2 linked regions of the Macaca mulatta genome follow. The protein of the gene in region 1 purifies or fractionates together with the protein of each later gene. This does not show direct contact. Links are inferred from orthologs where the notes say so. Each region holds a gene or a part of one and is shown on either strand. Other genes may lie near its edges.

Region 1 (10,418 bases):
ATCATAATAAAATGGCCAGTTTTGCTTCCATTACTTTTATAAACCCACGTAGTCATCACACTTCTTTCCCAAATTAGATTCCAGATTAAACAGAAGCCAGATGGGTTACAGATTTGATATTTAGAAGACTAATTTTTAATCGAAAGCAAACACTTTCTCAAATAGATTTTTCCACTTTTGCTTTCAGTAAATATACTTTGAGGGAGCTCCCTGAGTCTACTTCTTTAATAAACACATGTAATCCCAGAAAATATACAGTAATTAACAGCCTGAGGGATTTTTCTCTACTTCCATTTATCTGGTGACATAAATCACTGTTACATCAACCTTATTCACTAGTATGGGAATGTAAACATTTAAAAAATAAATTAAGCTATTTGCAGTAATTTCCATTTTACCACTTTAAAAATATTACTTTTCTTTTGGTAAGGTTTTCTAGTTCAGAGCATTAAGCTGTCAATAAGACAGATATCTAAGCCATCCATCCGGTGGCATTTGATAAGATAAACTTAGCTATATATTTATAATCCTATTATCTCCTTAGCAGGTGAGAACAATGGATTTAGCCAACATTATTCAAGCTTCATAATACTGTATGGTAAAATGTTAATGATAAAGAGTAGATGGTATTCACCACCATGAAACAGGGCAGAAATAAACAGAAAGTAGACAGTATCTAAAGAGATGTACAATAAAACTTCATAAACTTTGTTAATATGTTTGAAATTTTTCATAATAAAATGGTGGGGGTAAATAATCATAGCAACTAACATGCCCTCTCATAGTTCAACCGTTAACTGGCAATTTATACTTTTTGGAACAGCACAAATGGTATACAGCCTTGATTCTGGTGAAGTTTTATTTAAAGAAAACCTCATGTAGAAAATTACACGAGAAGCATTTCAACCACAAATGTCTCCATCACCAGAAGTCAAGGTAAAATAACCTGTTATAGGTCTAATGTGAAACAAATCTGTCATAAAATTCTCTAAATATTTTTGAAAGCTCTAAAAAAGCTACCTCAAAGCTCTTGAGAGGGGAGGAATTTATACTTCCTCAAACTGAACAATTCTGCATCACTAAATATGACATCAAATAGAAGCTCATGAAAACAAGGCCTCTGCCTATAATTGCAGCTACTAAGGAGGCTGAGGTGGGAGGATCACTTGAGCTCAGGAGTTCAAGATCAGCCTGGGCAACAAACTCTGGAACTGGCTTGTGGAATCCCACAAAAAGATACCTTTTTCATGAAAGTTTCATCTTTATGCTGAATTACACTCTTACTCAATCCAGTAAAAAGGCTCAAAGAAAGTTGCCCTACAGGCCAGGCGTGGTGGCTCACGCCTGTAACCCCAGCACTTTGGGAGGCCGAGGTGGGCGGGATCACAAGGTCAGGAGATGGAGACTATCCTAGCCAACACGGTGAAACCCCGTCTCTACTAAAAATACAAAAAATTAGCTGGGCGTGGTGGCGGGCGCCTGTAGTCCCAGCTACTCGGGAGGCTGAGGCGGGAGAATGGCTTCAACCCAGGAGGCGGAGCTTGCAGTTAGCTGAGACTACGCCATAGCACTCCAGCCTGGGTGACAGAGTGAGACTCGGTCTCACAAAAAAAAAAAAAAAAAAAAGAAAGAAAGCTGCCCTACAAACTAAGACTACCTTGTGGTATTGGGGAGAGAGACGGGATGAAGCAGCATCCAGTTTGATAACACCCAGAATGATATTAATGATCTGGACTTTAGAATGGGGGTGGAGGAGAGTTCCATGAGTCATGGCCATTTCTAAACTTAAAACACAGTAAATCCTCTCTTAATGTAAGGGATAGGTTCTGGGAAACTGAGACTTCCGACTAACACAGGCTAACTGATACAAAGAAGAGTTAGGTTCTAGGGCATATTTCTCATCAGAAAAACATCACCAAACTTTCAAATAAAGACCAAACACTTCTAATATTAAACACTGAAATAAATGTGAAGTAGATATAATTTTTTTTTTGAGACATACTTCCGCTCTTGTTGCCCAGGCTGGAGTGCAATGGCATGATAACCGCTCACTGCAACCTCTGCCTCCCAGGCTCAAGTGACTCTCCTGCCTCAGCCTCCTGACTAGCTGGGATTACAGGCGCCCACCAACAAGCCTGGCTAATTTTTTGTATTTTTAGTAGAGACAGGGTTTCGCCATGCTGGCCAGCTGGTCTCCAACTCCTGATCTCAGGTGATCTGCCCGCCTCAGCCTCCCAAAGTTCTGGGATTACAGGCGTGGGGCTGCAGTAAACCGAGATTGCACACAGCCTGGGCGACAAGAGTGAAACTCCATCTCAAAAAAAAAAAATTTACCACTTATTCCAGTTCAGGGTTGGGGTGGCTGGAGCCTATCCCAGCAGCTCAGAGTGCAAGGCCGGAACCAGCCCTGGACAGGACATCCACTGCAGAAAGCACTCACACATACACACACTGCTCCACACACCAGTGAACCTCATGTGCACAGCTTTGGGATGTGGGAGGAAATCAAGAGTACCCCGAGAAAACCCATGCAGGGATAGGGAGAACGTGCAAACTCCACAAACAGTTTTTTTCCTCACATTATCTTGAAACAACATTATTCAAGGATCTGCTGTAATCTGTATATACCTGGGCTTTCTGGCTGAAGCATAAAAGAGAGCAACTTATTCTGAAGAAACTCTATTTATGGTAACAATTCTCAATGCTTATAATTTTTACTTTAAGCTTAATGAGAAGCACTACACATTTTCTAAAATGTGTTGTGTCCTTTCCCAGATACTAAATTGGTGTTTCTTTCCTAAATCAATTTTAAGAGGTGTATCCTTCCCCATCTTCCAGGTAGTAATAACTAAAACGTAACATGTAACATTTCCACTGTACCAGATCAAGCTCAAAAGTAAACCTACAAACCTGAAATAACGTTACAGATATAAAAGCTGAAAACTATTCATGAATAGAAATTTGAAAGTTATGCAACAATGACAAACATTTATAATATTCCTGTCAAATTCCATTGTAAGAGAGATCTTTTAGACACAAGAAAGAAAAACGTGAACACTCATGCTGTGATTTCATACTATTCACAAAAATTAAGGTTTCATTCATATTTGCTAAATTTGTTATTTGGAAATAGAGCACATGGGGGCTCTTTGGAAAACAATTCTATGATAAAAGATTATCTTTTGCTTAATTCTTAACCTAAGGTAACAGCAGTATCTTTACACAACTACTGTAAAGAAACTTTTTAAGTTTTCGTTACGAATTATTAACTGTAGTTTAACGTTGACACAAAGTTATCTCTATTAAAGTGGGTTAACAGGCAGGTCTCTGCCAAACAGGACTAGGGAGATCTGTATTTCTGTTTGCTTTTCAATTACAGTCATTAATAGCTCAAGAATTTTTGCTTTTGTACACAACAAAGAAGCAAGGCTGTATTTTGACTTTGAGGAGCTGAAAGCATTGAATCAAGAGTTAATTTTCCTTTTCCTTTCTGCTGTACAGAAACCATTTATAAACAGAGAAGGGAAGCCCAACGAACAAAATGAGAACTATTATTCTACTAAAAGTAAATTTTGTGACATTAATCAAGAGCAATCTGGTAAAAGCCAAAATCGCTAATGTTGCTATACAACGTTTAAGATTTGTTTCAAAATAATCTAGTTTGTGTGGGGGGATACAACATGAAACAAAACCGACCTTGGCTATGAGTTAATAATTGTCAAAGCTGAGTGAGTGACTAATACATGGGGTTCTCCATACTATTCGAGTTTTACATATTTTCCAGAATAAAAAGATTTTTTTAAATGGTATTTAAAATACCATTTCCCTATTGCAATATGCCATAGCGATATGGCAGTATTAGACATGCTTTACACTGTTTGTATAGTTGTTTGCTTACGTGGTTTTTTTGGGTTTTTTGTTTGTTTGTTTGTTTGTTTGAGACAGTCTCGCTCTGTCGCACAGGCAACCTCCGCCTCCTGGGTTCAAGCGATTCTCCTGCCTCGGCCTCACGAGTAGCTGGGACTGCAGGCGCCCGACACCGCATCCGGCTACTTTTTGTATTTTCAGTGGCGACGGGGTTTCACCATGTTGGCCAGTATGGTCTCCGTCTCCTGACCTCGTGATCCACCCGCCTCGGCCTCCCAAAGTGCTGGGATTACAGACATGAGCCACCGCGCCTAACCTGCTTATGGAGGCCGAGGCGGGTGGATAACAAGGTTAGGAGTTCAAGATCAGTCTGGCCAACATGTCAAAACCCTGTCTCTATTAAAACTACAAAAATTAACACGGTGCGGCGGCGGGCGCCTGTAATCCCAGCTACTCGGTAGGCTGAGACAGGAGAATCGCTTGAACCCAGGCGGCAGAGGTTGCAATGAGCCGAGATCGTGCCACTGCACTCCAGCCTGGGCGATAGCGTGAGGCTATCTCAAAAAAAAAAAAAAAAAAAAAAAAAAAAATTCAAACAAATATTTTAAATTAGAAACAATGGTAAGACTGTCAGAAAATTCTAGGAAAATGTCAAAAACAAGGAGGCCACTTTGCCGCATGTGTGTTGAGAAGCGTATAAGTAAAAATATTTTCAGTCCACTAAAGAAATTTAATGCCTAAAACAATCCTAAGATACAGGAGGATCACTGAGGTAAACACACACTCCTTACTCGTATAAAATTGAACACCCATAAGTTGCATTTCCTTAGAGTACACCTATAAAACTAAGTACAGAATTTTTCAAAACCCAGTATGCTTTAATAAAGTTGCTGTACTAAAAATCCCACCTGTCACCAGGAAAACCGAAACTGCTCCCTCTACACTCCAACTGTATTTTTAGTTTTTACCTCAACAAGTAGCAATGTAATTTACATTTGGTAAGCACGGATTCCTGAAAGGCCAAAATCAACCAGGAACCTGACTGAACTCTTTCCACCACGCTCTTAACAATGAAAGCTACAAGCAGAAGAGAAGTGTGAACTTAAAAACGTCCACACAGCCGAAGAACAGTGGCAGAATAGACTGAAGCACGTATCTTCGCGGAACAGGAGAAAACTTCCACACAAGCAATACTGCAACACGGAGGCGGGGCAAGGGCTTAAAAGGAAAGCCAACAGGGAGGGGGGAATATAAGCAAAGCTTCAGCGAAAAAAACTTATCGAGGTGTAGAGAAAGAACAGACAGACAAATTTTTCCATCTTCGTACACCCCGCTTCAGAGCCTGATACACAGCAAGTGCTCCAGATAGGTTTGCTCAACTCAAGGGAAGCTTCTGCCAGCAACTTTCCCAGAAATGGAATGACAACAAGAAGCTGGCTGATGGCGGGGCGGGGGGAAATGGACAGGTTGCTCATCCTGCGTGAGATGGTGAATATCCTGCAGTTGGCTAAGCGGAGGACATGGAAAGAAATAGCATCCATCGTTTACAGACTGCAAACGACAATGTACCAATTAAGCGTACGCCCCTTTCAGATGTTAAGAACTCAAAACAATGCCCTGGCTCTGGACATGGGCACGCGGAACACTGCAGCCTCTAAGAAACCCAAACGGATAGGTAGGTCAACTTCTATCCACTCTGTCCATTAAATTATACCTTCATATCACGCTAATAAATTATGCAGACGGTTTATTGGGACACGCTCTGCGTCTGGCACTCTGATAAGCGCTTTACACGCCCCATTTCACTGAACCCTAACAGTCTTAAGAGGCAGGGACGGTATTAGCAGCCCCCTTTCCAACCAAGACACAAAGAGTTTAAGTGTCTTGCCTAATGGGGCAGAGCCGGGTTTGGCACCCGTTTTGGACACCTGGGCCGTGCTCTTAACCACTAAGCTACAGACCTGGGCCGGCGACACTGAGAGGCTCCAGCCCTAGGGGACCTGAAGCGGTCCACCCCCCAACCCGCGCCCCAGCCCCGGGAATAACTTCGGCATCCCCGCGCGCGCCATGCGGGACGAGGAAAGGCGGCCGCGGCACCTGTTTGTGACACCGGCGAGGGCTGGAGGAGATGGGGGCGCCCGAGGCCAGGCCTCAGGGCGCCCGGAGGCGGGGGGCGCAAGAGGACCCGCCTCCTCCGGGAAGGCCCCGCGGGCTACATAGGCCCGGGGGAAGGCGGCGGGGCGCGCGGGCCCGCCGAGGCCTAGGCCCCACCCGCCGCCCACCTCCCCACCACCGCGGCGCCCGCGCGGGCTCCGCCAGGCCCGGCTCGGCCCGGTCGCCTCACCTGGCTGCTGCCCCGCGCTCGTCCCCCGGCCGGCGGTCCTGGGCGGTGGCGGCGAGGAGGAGAAGGAGGAAGGAAAAAGGGAGAGGAAGAAGGGACGAAGGGAGGGAAGAGGCGGAGTGGCCGTGGAGGAGGCGGGCGCCGCCGGGCCGGGGGGTGGGGGGGCGGTCAAAGGAAGCAGGAGCCGAGAGAGACGCGGCGGTCGCCGGCGCAAACGCTGAAGAGCCGCTCCGGCGCCCGCAGCCCGGCAGGAAGTGACGGGGGAGGGGCAGGCGCCCGCCCCCGTCCCCCGCCCGCCTCCAGGCCTGGCCCCACCCCCCACCCGCGGCCCGGACCACAAGTTCCGGCGGGCGCTGCGGCGGAGCCTGCGCTCGCAAGGCACGCCGGGAGCTCAGCGGGAGTGGCGCCCTGTCCCGCCTAGGCTGCCGCGGGCCGCCCTGGGCCCCGGGGCCTGCCGGGAGTTGTAGTTGTGGGAGTTTCGTGCTGCCTGCTGGACTTGAAGCGTGTCTGGGAGAACCTAGCCTACCTTCTTTCCTCCTCCACTTCCTTTTTCCTTCCTTCTCTCGGTCTTTCCTCTTGTCTTGCCTCTGGCCCTCCTTTCTCTCCTTCCTGCAGTTGTTTCTTCCTTCATCTGTAAATGTTTATTAAATGCTTGCTGTATGCAAGGCATTGCTCCAAGGGCTAAGAATGTAGTGGTGAACAGACAAAAATCCGTGCCCTCGTAGAGCTTACATTCTTGTGTGAGTAAAACACACAATAAATAAAATCAGAAAATTTTACAGTGAGATAAAAGACAATAGCCCGGATGCGGTGGCTCACGCCTGTAATCCCAGCACTTTGGGAGGCCGAGGCGGGCAGATCACTAGGTCAAGCGATCGAGACCATCCTGGCTACCACGGTGAAACCCCCTCTCTACTAAAAGTACAAAAAATTAGCCGGGCGTGGTGGTGGGCGCCTGTAGTCCGAGCTACTCGGGAGGCTGAGGCAGGAGAACCGCACCCGGGAGGCGGAGATTGCAGCCGAGATCGCACCACTGCACTCCAGCCTTGGCGACAGAGTGATACTTGATCTCAAAAAAAAAAAAAAAAAAAAAAGACAAGAAGTGCTAGATTGCTATTTCTTTCACCCAGATCTAGATAAACTAAGTAAGTGGGTTTTAGCAGCCGTATTATATGGGAGGTTGGAGGAAGCGTGGCCAGTAAAGAATCAGTGGCTCACGCCTGTAATCCCAGCACTTTGGGAAGCCGAGGCCGACGGATCACCTGAGGTCAGGAGTTCAAGACCAGCCTGACTAACATGGGGAAACACCATCTCTACTAAAAATACAAAAAAAATTTAGCCGGGTGTAGTGGTGGGCGCCTGTAATCAGAGCTACTTGGGAGGCTGAGGCAGGAGAATCTTTTGAACCTCGGAGATGGAGGTTGCAGTGAGCCAAGATCATGCCGTTGCACTCCAACCTGGGCAACAGAGCAAGACTCCATCTCAAAAAAAAAAAAAAAGAAAAAGAAAAAAAGAATCTTGAACTTCTGAGATCAGACTCAGTGAAAATTATGCTCGTGTTGTAAGAGGTCCAGGAAACTGAGAATGAGTGAAGGAACTGCAAATACACAGAGCTTGTCTCTCCTGCTCACTCTAGGACTGCTTCCCCACTATTTAAAAATAATTTTCTCTCTCTTAAATATCTCTCAATCTAACAATTGCTCAGTCTCTCTTGCCAAGGGAATATAAATTCAAAATACGAGCTGCTGTGTCTGAAGGAGCCCCTCCAAGCGAGACTTTGGAGCCTTAGCCAAGCCTGGGAGGACACTGTTCTCTAGACAAGGCCTCCATACATTGCTTCTTGTGAAGTGCAAAGACACTGAATTTCAGAACACCAAAAATAGTCAAAGGACTTTCACCGTTCCTTTAGTGCCCATCCAAGACAGTACTAAGCAACAATCAGATATTGTCCAGCCCTCTGCTAAAAGTGATCTTTTTTTTCTTTCTAACTTCCAAGCAGTGTGGATCCCATACCTCCTTGGGTAAAGGAGCAGATGCAGAGAGGTCTCCCTAAACCCAAAGCTGTGCACAATCAGACAATCTCATCAAAGGTGATTTTGCAATCACCCATGGGGACAAAAGTGGTGGGTCTATGACTTCCAGCCCCAATTTTCTTTCTTCCCTCTTCCCTCCTTCCACATATCTTTTTTTTTTTTCTTGAGACTGGGTCTCGCCCTGTCACCTAACTAGAGTGCAGTGGCATGAACACAGCTCACTGCAGCCTCAACCTCCTGAGCTCAAGAAATCCTCCTACCTCAGCCTCCTGAGTGGCTGGGACCACAGGCATGCGCCACCACTCCCAGCTAATTTTTTACCTTTTTTATAGAGAAAGGGTTTTACTAAGTTGCCCAAGGTCTTACTAAGTTACTAAGTTGACCAGGCTGGTCTCAAACTTCTAGGCTCAAGCAATCCTTTTGCCTCGACCTTCCAAAGTACTGGGGGGATTATTCCAGGTGTGGGCCACCGTACCTGAACAGGAGTAGGTCACCTAGATTTGTTTTCTTCAAGAAACTGTCAGTCATTCTCTTCCCAGATCCTGAAGACTTCTTGACTCTTGCTAAGTAATTAAGGACTTATTTTTCTTTATCTTGAGAAAAAGATTGAAGCTATGTATTCTTAGTTCACAAGAAACTGTGAGCATTAAGTATGTTATGATAAATTCTGTGTGTTCCTTCTCACAAGATAAATTATATGCATTTGAACTAAGGAATGGAAACATGCAAAACTCATAAAAGCCTTTTGAGACATTGACTTTTTTTTTTTTTTCTTTTGAGACAGAGTCTCACTCTGTTGCCCAAGCTGAAGTGCAATGGTGTGATCTCGGCTCTCTGATGCAAAGCTCATAAAAGCCCTGTGAGATATTGATTTTAATTTTAATTTTTTATTTTTTTTGAGGCGGAGTCTCACTCCCAGGCTGGAGTGCAGTGGGGCGATCTCGCTCACTGCAAGCTCCGCCTCCCGGATTCACGCCATTCTCCTGCCTCAGCTTCCGAGTAGCTGGGGCTACAGGCGCCGGCCACTGAGCCCGGCTAATTTTTTTTGTATTTTTAGTAGAGACGGGGTTTCACCGTGTTAGCCAGGATGGTCTCAATCTCCTGACCTCGTGATCCACCCGTCTCGGCCTCCCAAAGTGCTGGGATTACAGGCGTGAGCCACCAGGCCCCGGCCTTTTTTTTTTTTTGAGACAGAGTCTCACTCAGTCACCCAGGCTAGAGTGCAGTGGCACGATCTCGGCTCATTGCAACCTCCACCTTCCAAGCTCAAGCAATTCTCCTGCCTCAGCCTCCTAAGTAGCTGAGACTACAGGCGCATGCCACTATGCCCTGTAATTTTTGTATTTTTAGTACAGATGGGGGTTTTGCCATGTTGGCCAGGCTGGTCTCGAACTCCTGACCTCAGGTGATCCACCCACTTCGGCCTCCCAAGGTGCTGGGATTACAAGTGTGAATGTTAACCTCTGATGAATTATCTCTGTTCCACTCTCATAGCCTCTTAGTAGAACTTTGTACCCTCATAATTTTTCTTTTTTTTTTTTTTTTGTTGAGACAGAGTCTCGCTTTGTCGCCCAGACTGGAGTGCAGTGGCCGGATCTCAGCTCACTGCAAGCTCCGCCTCCCGGGTTCACGCCATTCTCCGGCCTCAGCCTCCCGAGTAGCTGGGACTACAGGCGTCCGCCACCTCGCCTGGCTAGTTTTTGTATTTTTTAGTAGAGACGGGGTTTCACCGTGTTAGCCAGGATGGTCTCGATCTCCTGACCTTGTGATCAGCCCGTCTCGGCCTCCCAAAGTGCTGGGATTACAGGCTTGAGCCACCGCGCCCGGCCATAATTTTTCAATTATCTGTTGAGTATATTAGGCTAGGACTAAGAGATCAACTTCCATGACAGCAGAGACTCACCCTGTATTAAGTCATCATGATAGTCCCTGGCCCCTAACACAGTGTCAGGGACACAACAGGTACATGATAAATTTCCATAGACTGCTGAAAAACTACAGCCTTGCTTATCTCTGCGAAAGTCCCGAAGAAACAGGGAACACCTGTAGGGTTGACTGGTGTATGTCAGGGTCACCTGTAGTATGTGTAGCACAGGAAAACAAGGTTGAGAACTACTTGCTGGCCTAAATAAGTAATTCTCAAGCTTATTTGAGGTGGTCTGCACCCTGGGGATATG
Region 2 (9,786 bases), on another chromosome or scaffold:
TTATGCTTACTTGTTAGTACATATTGGTTATTTATGTCTGACTTTCCACTATTTTCAATATTAAATAACCTGTTGCATAATGCTTCAAAATAACCTGTTGTATAAAGTTTCAAAATAACTTATGCTCAATCAATGTTTAGTATGCCAAATAAACTCCCAAAACTCACACTTTAAACTTTGGGATTCAAATGTAGAGAAAAAACAGAATAGCAACCAAAAGACTGAATCTGATCATCTTAAAGCCCATCACTGCAACTTTAGCAAAGCTCAAGTCAAAATTAACCAAATCAAAGACTGAATCTGATCATCTTAAAGCCCATCACTGCAACTTTAGCAAAGCTCAAGTCAAAATTAACCAAATCAGGGTTTTACAAACCCAAAAACTAAAAATTAAGGTGCAATTAAAATAACTGACCTGCTAAATATTATGGCAGAAAAAAACCAGCTAATTGCCAAATTTTCTGAAAAAAGCTGACTACAGGAAACCTAAAAACCATTAAATGCAGCCATCGGTTCTCTACACGATACCTACCTAACGTCCCTATTTAACCACTTTTACATTTTCCTTACACTTATAAGTCAACTGTAAGGCCGGGCGCGGTGGCTCAAGCCTGTAATCCCAGCACTTTGGGAGGCTGAGGCGGGTGGATCACGAGGTCAGGAGATCGAGACTATCCTGGCTAACATGGTGAAACCCCGTCTCTACTAAAAATACAAAAAACTAGCCGGGCGTGGTGGCGGGCGCCTGTAGTCTCAAGCTACTTGGGAGGCTGAGGCGGGAGAATGGCGTGAACCCGGGAGGCGGAGCTTGCAGTGAGCCGAGATCACGCCACTGCACTCCAGCCTGGGAGACACAGCGAGACTCCGTCTCAAAAAAAAAAAAAAAAACAAAAAAAAGTCAACTGTAAATAAGAGCAAAAATAAATGCATAAACTGTATGTTGACGAAGACTTTCGTACTAATTGTAAAATCTAACAGCTAAACTCAAGCTTATATATCTAGTAGTAGCCACAATTTAGTGTCTTGCTTCCAGGTTTCACGTTAGGATGATTTTGGCAAAATGTATTTCCCATAAGATCTATGGAAAAAAAAAAAAAAAAGATCTCTACCAACTCCCAAAAAAGCAAAGACCAGACTGCCCCAAGCCGCCAAATGGAGCAACAAGGAAAACCACAGCAATTTCCTTAGCCAAAATAGTACCAAAAAAGTAAAACTGAATTCAATAACCAAGAAATAATTTGCCAACTATAGGAAATTTGGAAAAAATATACTAAAGTTATCGTCTCAGACTGCCAACTGTATTCTTCATGTATTTCATTAAATACATGAATTTTCAGATTATTTCATTAAATGAATTATCTGTGGCTAGGAACTTTTTAAAAAGAGCCAACACTTAAAAAGGGTAAAGGCAGAATCATAATAAATCACGAAAAACTTGGACTTCATCTTGTCCCCAGAAAATTCAGTTACCTCTTGGTCAGTCATCCGGAAGCAATTCTTCACATAATTGATGAACTTGGCTTCCACTTTGGGAAGAGAACCACCCTATTGAGACAAAAGCATTATTACAGGTAAGTAGAGAAATACACTGAGAGAGATACCTTTAGAAAATTCCTCAATAATCTGCAATGCTACTACATAGAGCAGTTTACTCCTTTTCCCTTCAACTTTCCAAGAATACTCAATGTCTTTTTCAGGGCCAGAAAGCCCTATTGGGCAGCATGGCTAGTATCTCTATTCAAACAGATTTGCCAAAGGGTCAAATCTTCCCAGACGACCTCTCTAGGAACATAAAATAAAAGCTACACTTGAGATTCTACAGACAAACATGACATGGCAACTCGGTTGCTTATCTGTATTATCTAACAAGCCGGTTTTATCACCCAGAACCAAACACAACCTGTAACACTCCTTTGGAGAACCATGTCAAGTGACCCAAACTGTTGTTTAAAAAAAAACAAAACCCCACAAAACACTTGTTGATCACAAACCAGTTCAGAACAACAATGATCTGGTCATCAGTTAAAGATATATAAAGTTGAATGGGGAAAAAATTACAGTAATTACATTTCACTAATCACTCTTACCATTTCCTTCAAATTACGGATATATGCAAGAAACTACAATGGGGGAGAAATTACAGTAATTACACTTCACTAATCACTCTTACCATTTTCCTTCAAATTATGGATATAGGCAAGAAACTACAACAGTGTTGGCGATACCTGTAACTTTTTGTCACCAAAATTTCAAAACATTACTATTGCAAATATCTTGAAATGTTTATTTATCACTACTTTGGAATTACCTTAAAGCACTGAATATATCTGTTTTTATTAAATTTAATACCTTTCCCTCTAAGTATCTTTTATGCATTTTTAAAAGATTGAAAAGGTTTTCAAATGTCCAAGGGACCTTGGCAGAATCAAGTATAGCATTAAGAAACTTAACTGCCTCCAATAACCTAGTAAAATAAACCTCAATTTCCATTTCAAAATTATTGTCACATACATTCTTAATTGATTCATTCAAATATTTATTGAGCAGCTAAGGAGATACAAAGGCGATTTAAAACATTGTCAGAGGTGAGGCAAATGCACAAGTAATAGAAAGCAAAGGGCAAGGTTCACTGAATCACAGCAGTCAGAAGAAAGTGCTTTAGGGAACCAAGAGTGAGATTGTTTCCAGCCTGAAGAGGCATGGGTGGCAAATCAGAAAAGGGGATTGAGATTAAAATAGAAGACTTCAGTCTGGATTGTTGATGACACTCAGTATGGACTATATTTGTCTCTCCTTTTCCTTTCTCCCCATCTTTGGGCTTAATTTACATGTAGTGCCCAGGGCTGTTCAATGCGCCTGCAATTAAACCAAGGAGATAGGACCATATTAAAATGGAGGGGAGGGGAATCTAAAATATGTCATTTCAGCATTGTATCCAAGGGACAAAAATCTGATAAGCAGGAAGGCTAAAGGGTTTCCAGTGTGACTAAAACAAGAAATATGTTCCAGTTCTAAAATTTTTTTTCCAGTGGACTTATCACTGTACAAGGAAATCTACACAAGCCAACAAAAAATCTATAGAGTACAGGAAAAACATGGGGAAATGAGTTGGCAATTTTTCCTTACCACCCCACATTTGTTCTCAATAATTGCAGTCTAAAAGTATTGTTCATTGAATTAAAGCTTCTCTCAAATGTGCTTCCAAGGCATTTAAACCATTTATTTCATATCCTACTCAAGTCAATCAGACAAGAGACCTAATCGTCTTCCCACATTTCCATTATTTAAGACAAAAGGAAACTAGATTTAAACCTATTAGTCATTCACAAAATCTATTACTACACGTATTTAACTGGTGACAACTTGGTGTAAAGGGCAAACAGAAATGTCTCAATCTGCTGAAAATTACTTCTGACTAGGGTCAATCATGAATATTTAACTATAATACCAACCAAACAGTCTACTTTTCCAGCTGTTTGCAATTTTAATGAAGTCTCATACGCCCTCTGTTGGTTCTCTAGCATATCTTACAACCAGAATAGGTCAAGGGTTCTCACTGATCTATTTTAACATGGAAGGTCAGAATGTTATCTTGCAACCAGTGCACTACATTCCTTTTATAATGGAAAATAAGGCATATTTAATTTTGCATATGCAAATCACCATAGACACGATTATAAATGTTTTATAATTCATTTTTAAAAAAATTCATACCACGAACAGGGCAAGTACATTAAACCAAAACAAAAAAAACAAGAAACATTCAAGTCTACGCAAACTAGACACATGCAATTTGAGCAGGGAGAAAGTTTTTTTTTAAATAACTTTACTCACTTTTTCTATACTTGCTTGCATTTTTGCTTTAATGTCTTCTACAGAACTAGGTCCTTTTGGTGTTTTAGGAGTTTTTTCCTGTTTTTTGAAGGATTCTTGTCCCTGAAAAGGAAATGAACTTCCAAAAGGTCATAAGAATAAATACAACTCCTAATTTAAAACCCATTCTATCTGGATTTCCTCAAATAGTCTTACAAAACTCCCTTATAAAGCTAATTATACAACTGGAATTATCAATAAATTCACACCATACAATTTTGTTCTTAAAAATCTTTCTTGTAAGATTAGCTAGGCATGGTGGTGCATATGCCTATAATCCCAGCTACTCAGGAGGCTAAAGCGGGAAGATTGCTTGAGCCCAGCAGCTGGAGGCTGTAGAGAGAGCTATGATCATACCACTGTACTCCCAACTGGGCAAGAGTAGGACACCCGTCTTTTTTTTAAAAAAAAAAAAAAAAAAAAAAAAAAAGGAGTAACTTGGGAGTTCACTTTTTAATGCACAATACTCAGTTCAAAAAATGAAATCAGAAGATCCCTAAGAATAAAGCAAGAAAGTCATTGCAGTCTGATGCCTGGGGCCCACCCCAGACCAATTTCATGATAATCTCCATAAGCAGAGCACAGTGTTGGGTTCTTTTAAAGTTTTTCTCCTTTAAATTCCATTTTCTGCAGGGAAGGGGGTAAGGCCAGAAAGGAGACCATCACACCCTGTCTGGCCCTAAATGTTCTACTTCAATCTAATGTGCAGCCAAGGTTGAGAATCTCTACTCTATGCAGGTATACTTTTCAACAAAGATTCCTTACAGGAAACAACTATTGACTTCACAATCATAAAAAATTCAAGCCAGGCGTGGTGGCTCACGCCTATAATCTCAGCACTCTGGGAGGCCCAGGAGGGCAGATCACCTGCAGTCAGGAGTTCAAGACCAGCCTGGCCAACGTATATAGTGAAACCCGACCTCTACTCAAAAATACAAAAATAAGCTGGGCCTGGTGGCACACACGTGTAGTCCTAGCTACTTGAGAAGCTGAGGGAGGAGAATCGCTTGAACCCAGGAAGTGAAAGTTGCAGCAAGCCGAGATCATGCAGCTCTAACCCAGACTCACTGACAAAGCGAGGGTCCGTCTCTCTCAAAAAAGTCCATTGGTTCCCCCCGCCACTGGAACCCCAGCAGCACATTACTTAGTATGTTTGTCTGTGTGTACCTATAACACATAACAAGCTGATTTTTTTTTTTTTTTTTGGAGGCAGAGTCTGACTCTTTCGCCCAAGCTGGAGTGCAGTGGTACAATCACTGCAACCTCCGCCTCCTGAGTAGGTGGAATTACAGGAACATACCACCATGCCTGGCTAATTTTTGTGTTTTTAGTAAGGACAGGGTTTCACGTTGTTGGCCAGGCTAGTCTCAAACTCCTGACCTCAGGTGATCCCACCAACCTTAGCCTCCCTCCCAAAGTGCTGGGATTACAGGAGTAAGCCACTGCGCCCGGCTGCAGCAAGCTGATTTAAACTTTAAAACAGCAATTACAGGGGTTCTATAAAGGCCTATGAAATTTCAGACACACTAGATTCTTCCACAACAGTAGAATCTTTTTTCCCCGACTGTATCAATGAGACCCATATGTAAATGTAACCACTTACTTTTGATCTTGGTGTTGATGATGGTTTTGAGTCTTTTCCATTCTGATTTGACTTTTGTGCATTTTTGGCTGGAGTATCTCGTATAGACTGCAATTAGAAATTTATCTTAATCACTGTCCCTGACCCCAGCAACAGTGCAAACAGTACTGTCCAAGCCATGTAAGAAAAGCAGCAACCACAGGCTGGGCGCAGTGGCTCACGCCTGTAATCCCAGGACTTTGGGAGGCCGAGGCAAGTAGATCATGAGGTCAGGAGTTCAAGACCTGCCTGGCCAACATGGTGAAACTCCATCTCTACTAAAAATGCAAAAATTAGCTGGGTGTGGTGGCCTGAGTCTGTAATTCCAGCTACTCAGGAGGCTGAGGCAGGAGAATCACTTCAACCCGGGAGGCAGAGGTTGCAGTGAGCCGAGATTGCGCCACTGTACTCCAGTCTGGGTGACAGACTCCGTCTCAAAAAAAAAAAAAGAAAAAAAGAAAAGAAAAAGCAGCAACCACTTGAATAAAAGGTTACACAAGACTAACAAATTGGGTGGAGGGCTACATGGATAAAGAAAACAGACCATTCCCCACTATAAGTTTTCTGTAGTCCTCCTCAGAACTAATTTTCAGTATGAGATGATCTCCCACACCAGCTTCCCTCAACTACAAAACAAGCAAATAGCACTAAAAAATTACTATTTCTATTGTTAGTTTAACAACCTTGTAGCATTGTATCTACTCACTTTCTTCACTGGTGCTTTTTCTTCAGCTTCCTCATCATCAAAATCATCATCATCATCACTACAAATGAAACATCAAGACATTAAGCACTTTCAAAATTTGGGAGTAGACACAAGAATTGAAAGCAGGACCTTGACGTGATTATTTGTGCACCGTGTTAATCGAAGCATTCATTGTTCACAACAGCCAAGAGATGAAAGCAACCCAACTGTTAAATGGCTGAATAATGAAAATGTTTACGCACACACGATGAAAATCCTCTTGCATGCTATATGACTGAACCTTGAACAAAGTAAAATAAGCCACCCACAAAAAAAACACTGTATGATTCTATTCATTAAGTATCCAAAAGTAGTCAAACTCAAAAGAAATGGAAGGTATAATTGTGATCACTAGGGGCTGGGAAACAAAGCTGCTCAATAAGTAGTTTTGCATGAATATACACTATGCCAATGTATAATATATGTATATTTAAGTAATGTACAGTTAAACTGTACACTCAAATAGAGTAAATTTATGTTTAAAAAAAAAAAACTAAAGACCTAAATAGAAACATTCCATGTTCAGATATTGCCAAGATGGCAACACTCCCCAAATACACAGGTTAAATACAATCCTTAGAAGACTCCCCAAGCTGGTTTCTCTGTAGAAATAGATCCTAAAATTTATATATAAACCCAAGAGTCGGCAGTGTGTCACAACTATAATCCTAACACTTTGGGAGGCTGAGGTGGGAGGATCTCATTTGAGTTCGAGACCAGCCTAGGCAACATGAGAACCCTCTCTACAAAAAAAAAAAATTTAATTAGCAGACGTGGTTGTGTGTGCCTGTAGTCCCAGCTACTTGAAAAGCTAAGGCAGAAGGATCTACTTGAGACTGTAACTGTGTAATTCTGCCACTGCACTCCAGCCTGGGTGACAGAGCAAGACCCTATCTCAAAGAACAAAAACAAAAAAAGACACTTAAGGGACCCAAAGAGGCCAAATGCAATCTTGAAAGGAACAAAGCTAGAGAACTCACACTTGATTTCAAAAAATCAGCTATAAGACCTACGAAGGGGTCAAGGCACCATGGCTGATGCTTGTAATCCCAATACTTTTTAGGAGGCCGAGGCAGCTGGATCACCTGAGGTCAGGAGTTTTGAGACCAGCCTGGCCAACAGGGAGAAACCCAGTCTCTACTAAAAATACAAAAATTATCCAGGAGTGGTGGCGGGCACCTGTAATCCCAGCTACTTAGGAAGCTGAAGCAGGAAGACCCGGGAGGCGGAGGTTGCAGTAAGCCAAGATCGCACCATTGTGCTTCCAGCCTGGATGACAGAGAGAGACTCATTTAAAAAAAAAAAAAAAAAAACTGCAAAGGAACAGTGTTGTAACTGTTCTTACCTGTTAAGGATAGACACATATATCAACAAACAGACCATAAATAAATACGTATATTTATAGTAAGTGATTTTTTTTTGTTTTTTGAGATGGAATCTCACTCTGTCACAGGCTGGAGTACAGTGGCGCAATCTCTAATCACTACAACCTTTGCCCCCCAGGTTCAAGCGAATTCTCCAGCCTCAGCCTCCTGAGTAGGTGGTACTACAGACACAAGCTACCATGCCCAGCTAAAATTTGTATTTTTAGTAGAGACAGGGTTTCACCATATTGGCCAGGATAGTCTCTATCTCCTGGTCGTGATCCACCTGCCTGGGACTCTCAAAGTGCGGGGATTACAGGCGTGAGCCACCGTACCGGGCCGTAAGTGACTCTTTTAAAGGTTGCCAAGATCCTTCAATGGGGAAAAAAGTTTTGGAACAAATCATTTGGGGAAACTGCTCATCTACACCCCAAAGTCTATATTTGGACCCCTCCATTCACACCATACACAGATATTTACTCAAAATGGAACAAAGCGCTAAATAAAGCTACAGGACAAAACTCAGAATTAAGGGGGTAAATTTTCACAACTTTGAATTTAGCAATGATTTCTTAGGATTGACACCAAAGGCACAAGCAACAAAAGAAATCAGACATAAAAATTTAAAACTTGGGTCAAAGGCCACCATCATGAAAGTTAAATGACAATTCACAGAATAGTGGAAGATAATCTGCAAATCATGCGTCTGATAAGGTGCTTGTTTGCAGAATGTATAAAGAATTCTTAGGCCCGGTGCAGTGGCTCAACGCCTGTAATCCCAGCACTTGTGGGAGGCCGAGACAGGCCTGAAATCAGGAGTTCAAGACCAGCCTGGCCAACATGGTGAAACCCAGTCTCTATTAAAAATACAGAAAATTAGCCGGGCATGGAAGGGATCGGGGGATGCCTGTAATCCTTGGAAGAAGCAGGGGAACTGCTTGAACAAGGGAGGAGGAGGTTGCAGTGAGCAAGAGCCAAGATCACATCATTGCACTCAAGCCTGGGCAACAGAAAGAGACTTGTCTAAAAAAAAGAATTCTTGCCAGGGCACAGTGGCTCACAGCTGTAATCCCAGCAGTTTGGGAGGCAGAGGGAGGTGGATCACTGAAGACAGGCATTTAACAACAGCCTGGCCAACACAGTGAAACCCCTTCTCCTACTAAAAATACAAAAATCATAGGAAAAAAAAAAATTCTTACAGCTCAGTAAAGACCAAGAGAAGTAACTGGATTTTTTAAATGGGTAAAGACATCTCTCCAAAGATATATGGCCAATGAATACATGAAAAGATGCTCTAATAAAGACTAATAATAGTCCATAGGTCTGAAATGCAATCAAACCCACAACTAGCACTTCATACCACCAGGATTAGTGAGTCAGATAATGGCAAGTGAGGGTGTAGTGAAATCAGAAGCCCCATACACTGCTAGTGGGAATACAATGGGTCAGCCACTCTGCTTTAGGTGTACACCCAAAAAAAATGACATGTCCACAAGCGTTCATAGCAGTCAACAAGTAGAAGCAACCCAAATGCTCACCAACTGACGCATAACCAAATAATATACCCATACAATGTATTCAACCATAAAAATAAATGGAGTACTGATAATGCTTTCACATGGACGAAACTTGAAAACACTGTGCTAGGAAAACAGTCACAGAAGTCCATTCATGCAACATATGAGGGACAGGAAACCTACAGACAAAGTTCATTTGTGGCTGATTAGAGCTGAGGAGCATGAGGGGTAATACCTATAGAGGACGATTTCTCATTGAGGTGATGAAATGTTCTAAAATTGATTGTGGTGATGGCTACACAACTAAGCACACTAAAACCACTGAACTGTACACTATTTTTTTCTTTTTTGAGTTTTACTCTTATTGCCCAATCTGGAGTGCAATGGTGTGATCTCGGCTCACTGCAACCTCCGCCTCCCGGGTTCAAGCAATTATTCTGCCTCACCCTCAGTAGTAGCTGGGATTGCAGGTACCGACCATTACACCCAGCTCTTTGTATGTTAGTAGGGATGGGGTTTCACCATATTGGCCAGGCTGGTCTTGAACTCCTGACCTCAGGTGATCCGCCCACCTCGACCTCCTAAAGTGCTGGGATTACAGGTGTAAACTCTACACGTTAAATAGGTAAATAATGGAGGGGAGTAATCCAATCAAGTCATTAGAGG

The links.
Region 2: the proteins of STAU1 (region 1) and NPM1 purify together in Homo sapiens (affinity purification with mass spectrometry; 3 studies listed by BioGRID and IntAct, with this or other methods). This does not show direct contact. The link is inferred for Macaca mulatta from reciprocal best matches to the Homo sapiens genes STAU1 and NPM1.

Annotation. Positions count from the first base shown.
Region 1 is NC_133415.1:102,001,761-102,012,178, forward strand, and holds the start of STAU1 (double-stranded RNA-binding protein Staufen homolog 1), read right to left. Parts: upstream 6,331-10,418; 5' UTR 6,212-6,330; intron 1-6,211. UniProt on the Homo sapiens protein: Binds double-stranded RNA (regardless of the sequence) and tubulin.
Region 2 is NC_133411.1:180,256,041-180,265,826, reverse strand, and holds part of NPM1 (nucleophosmin), read right to left. Parts: intron 6,259-9,786; coding exon 6,201-6,258; intron 5,564-6,200; coding exon 5,477-5,563; intron 3,953-5,476; exon of another isoform or gene 3,937-3,952; coding exon 3,835-3,936; intron 2,857-3,834; exon of another isoform or gene 1,546-2,856; coding exon 1,471-1,545; intron 1-1,470. UniProt on the Homo sapiens protein: Involved in diverse cellular processes such as ribosome biogenesis, centrosome duplication, protein chaperoning, histone assembly, cell proliferation, and regulation of tumor suppressors p53/TP53 and ARF.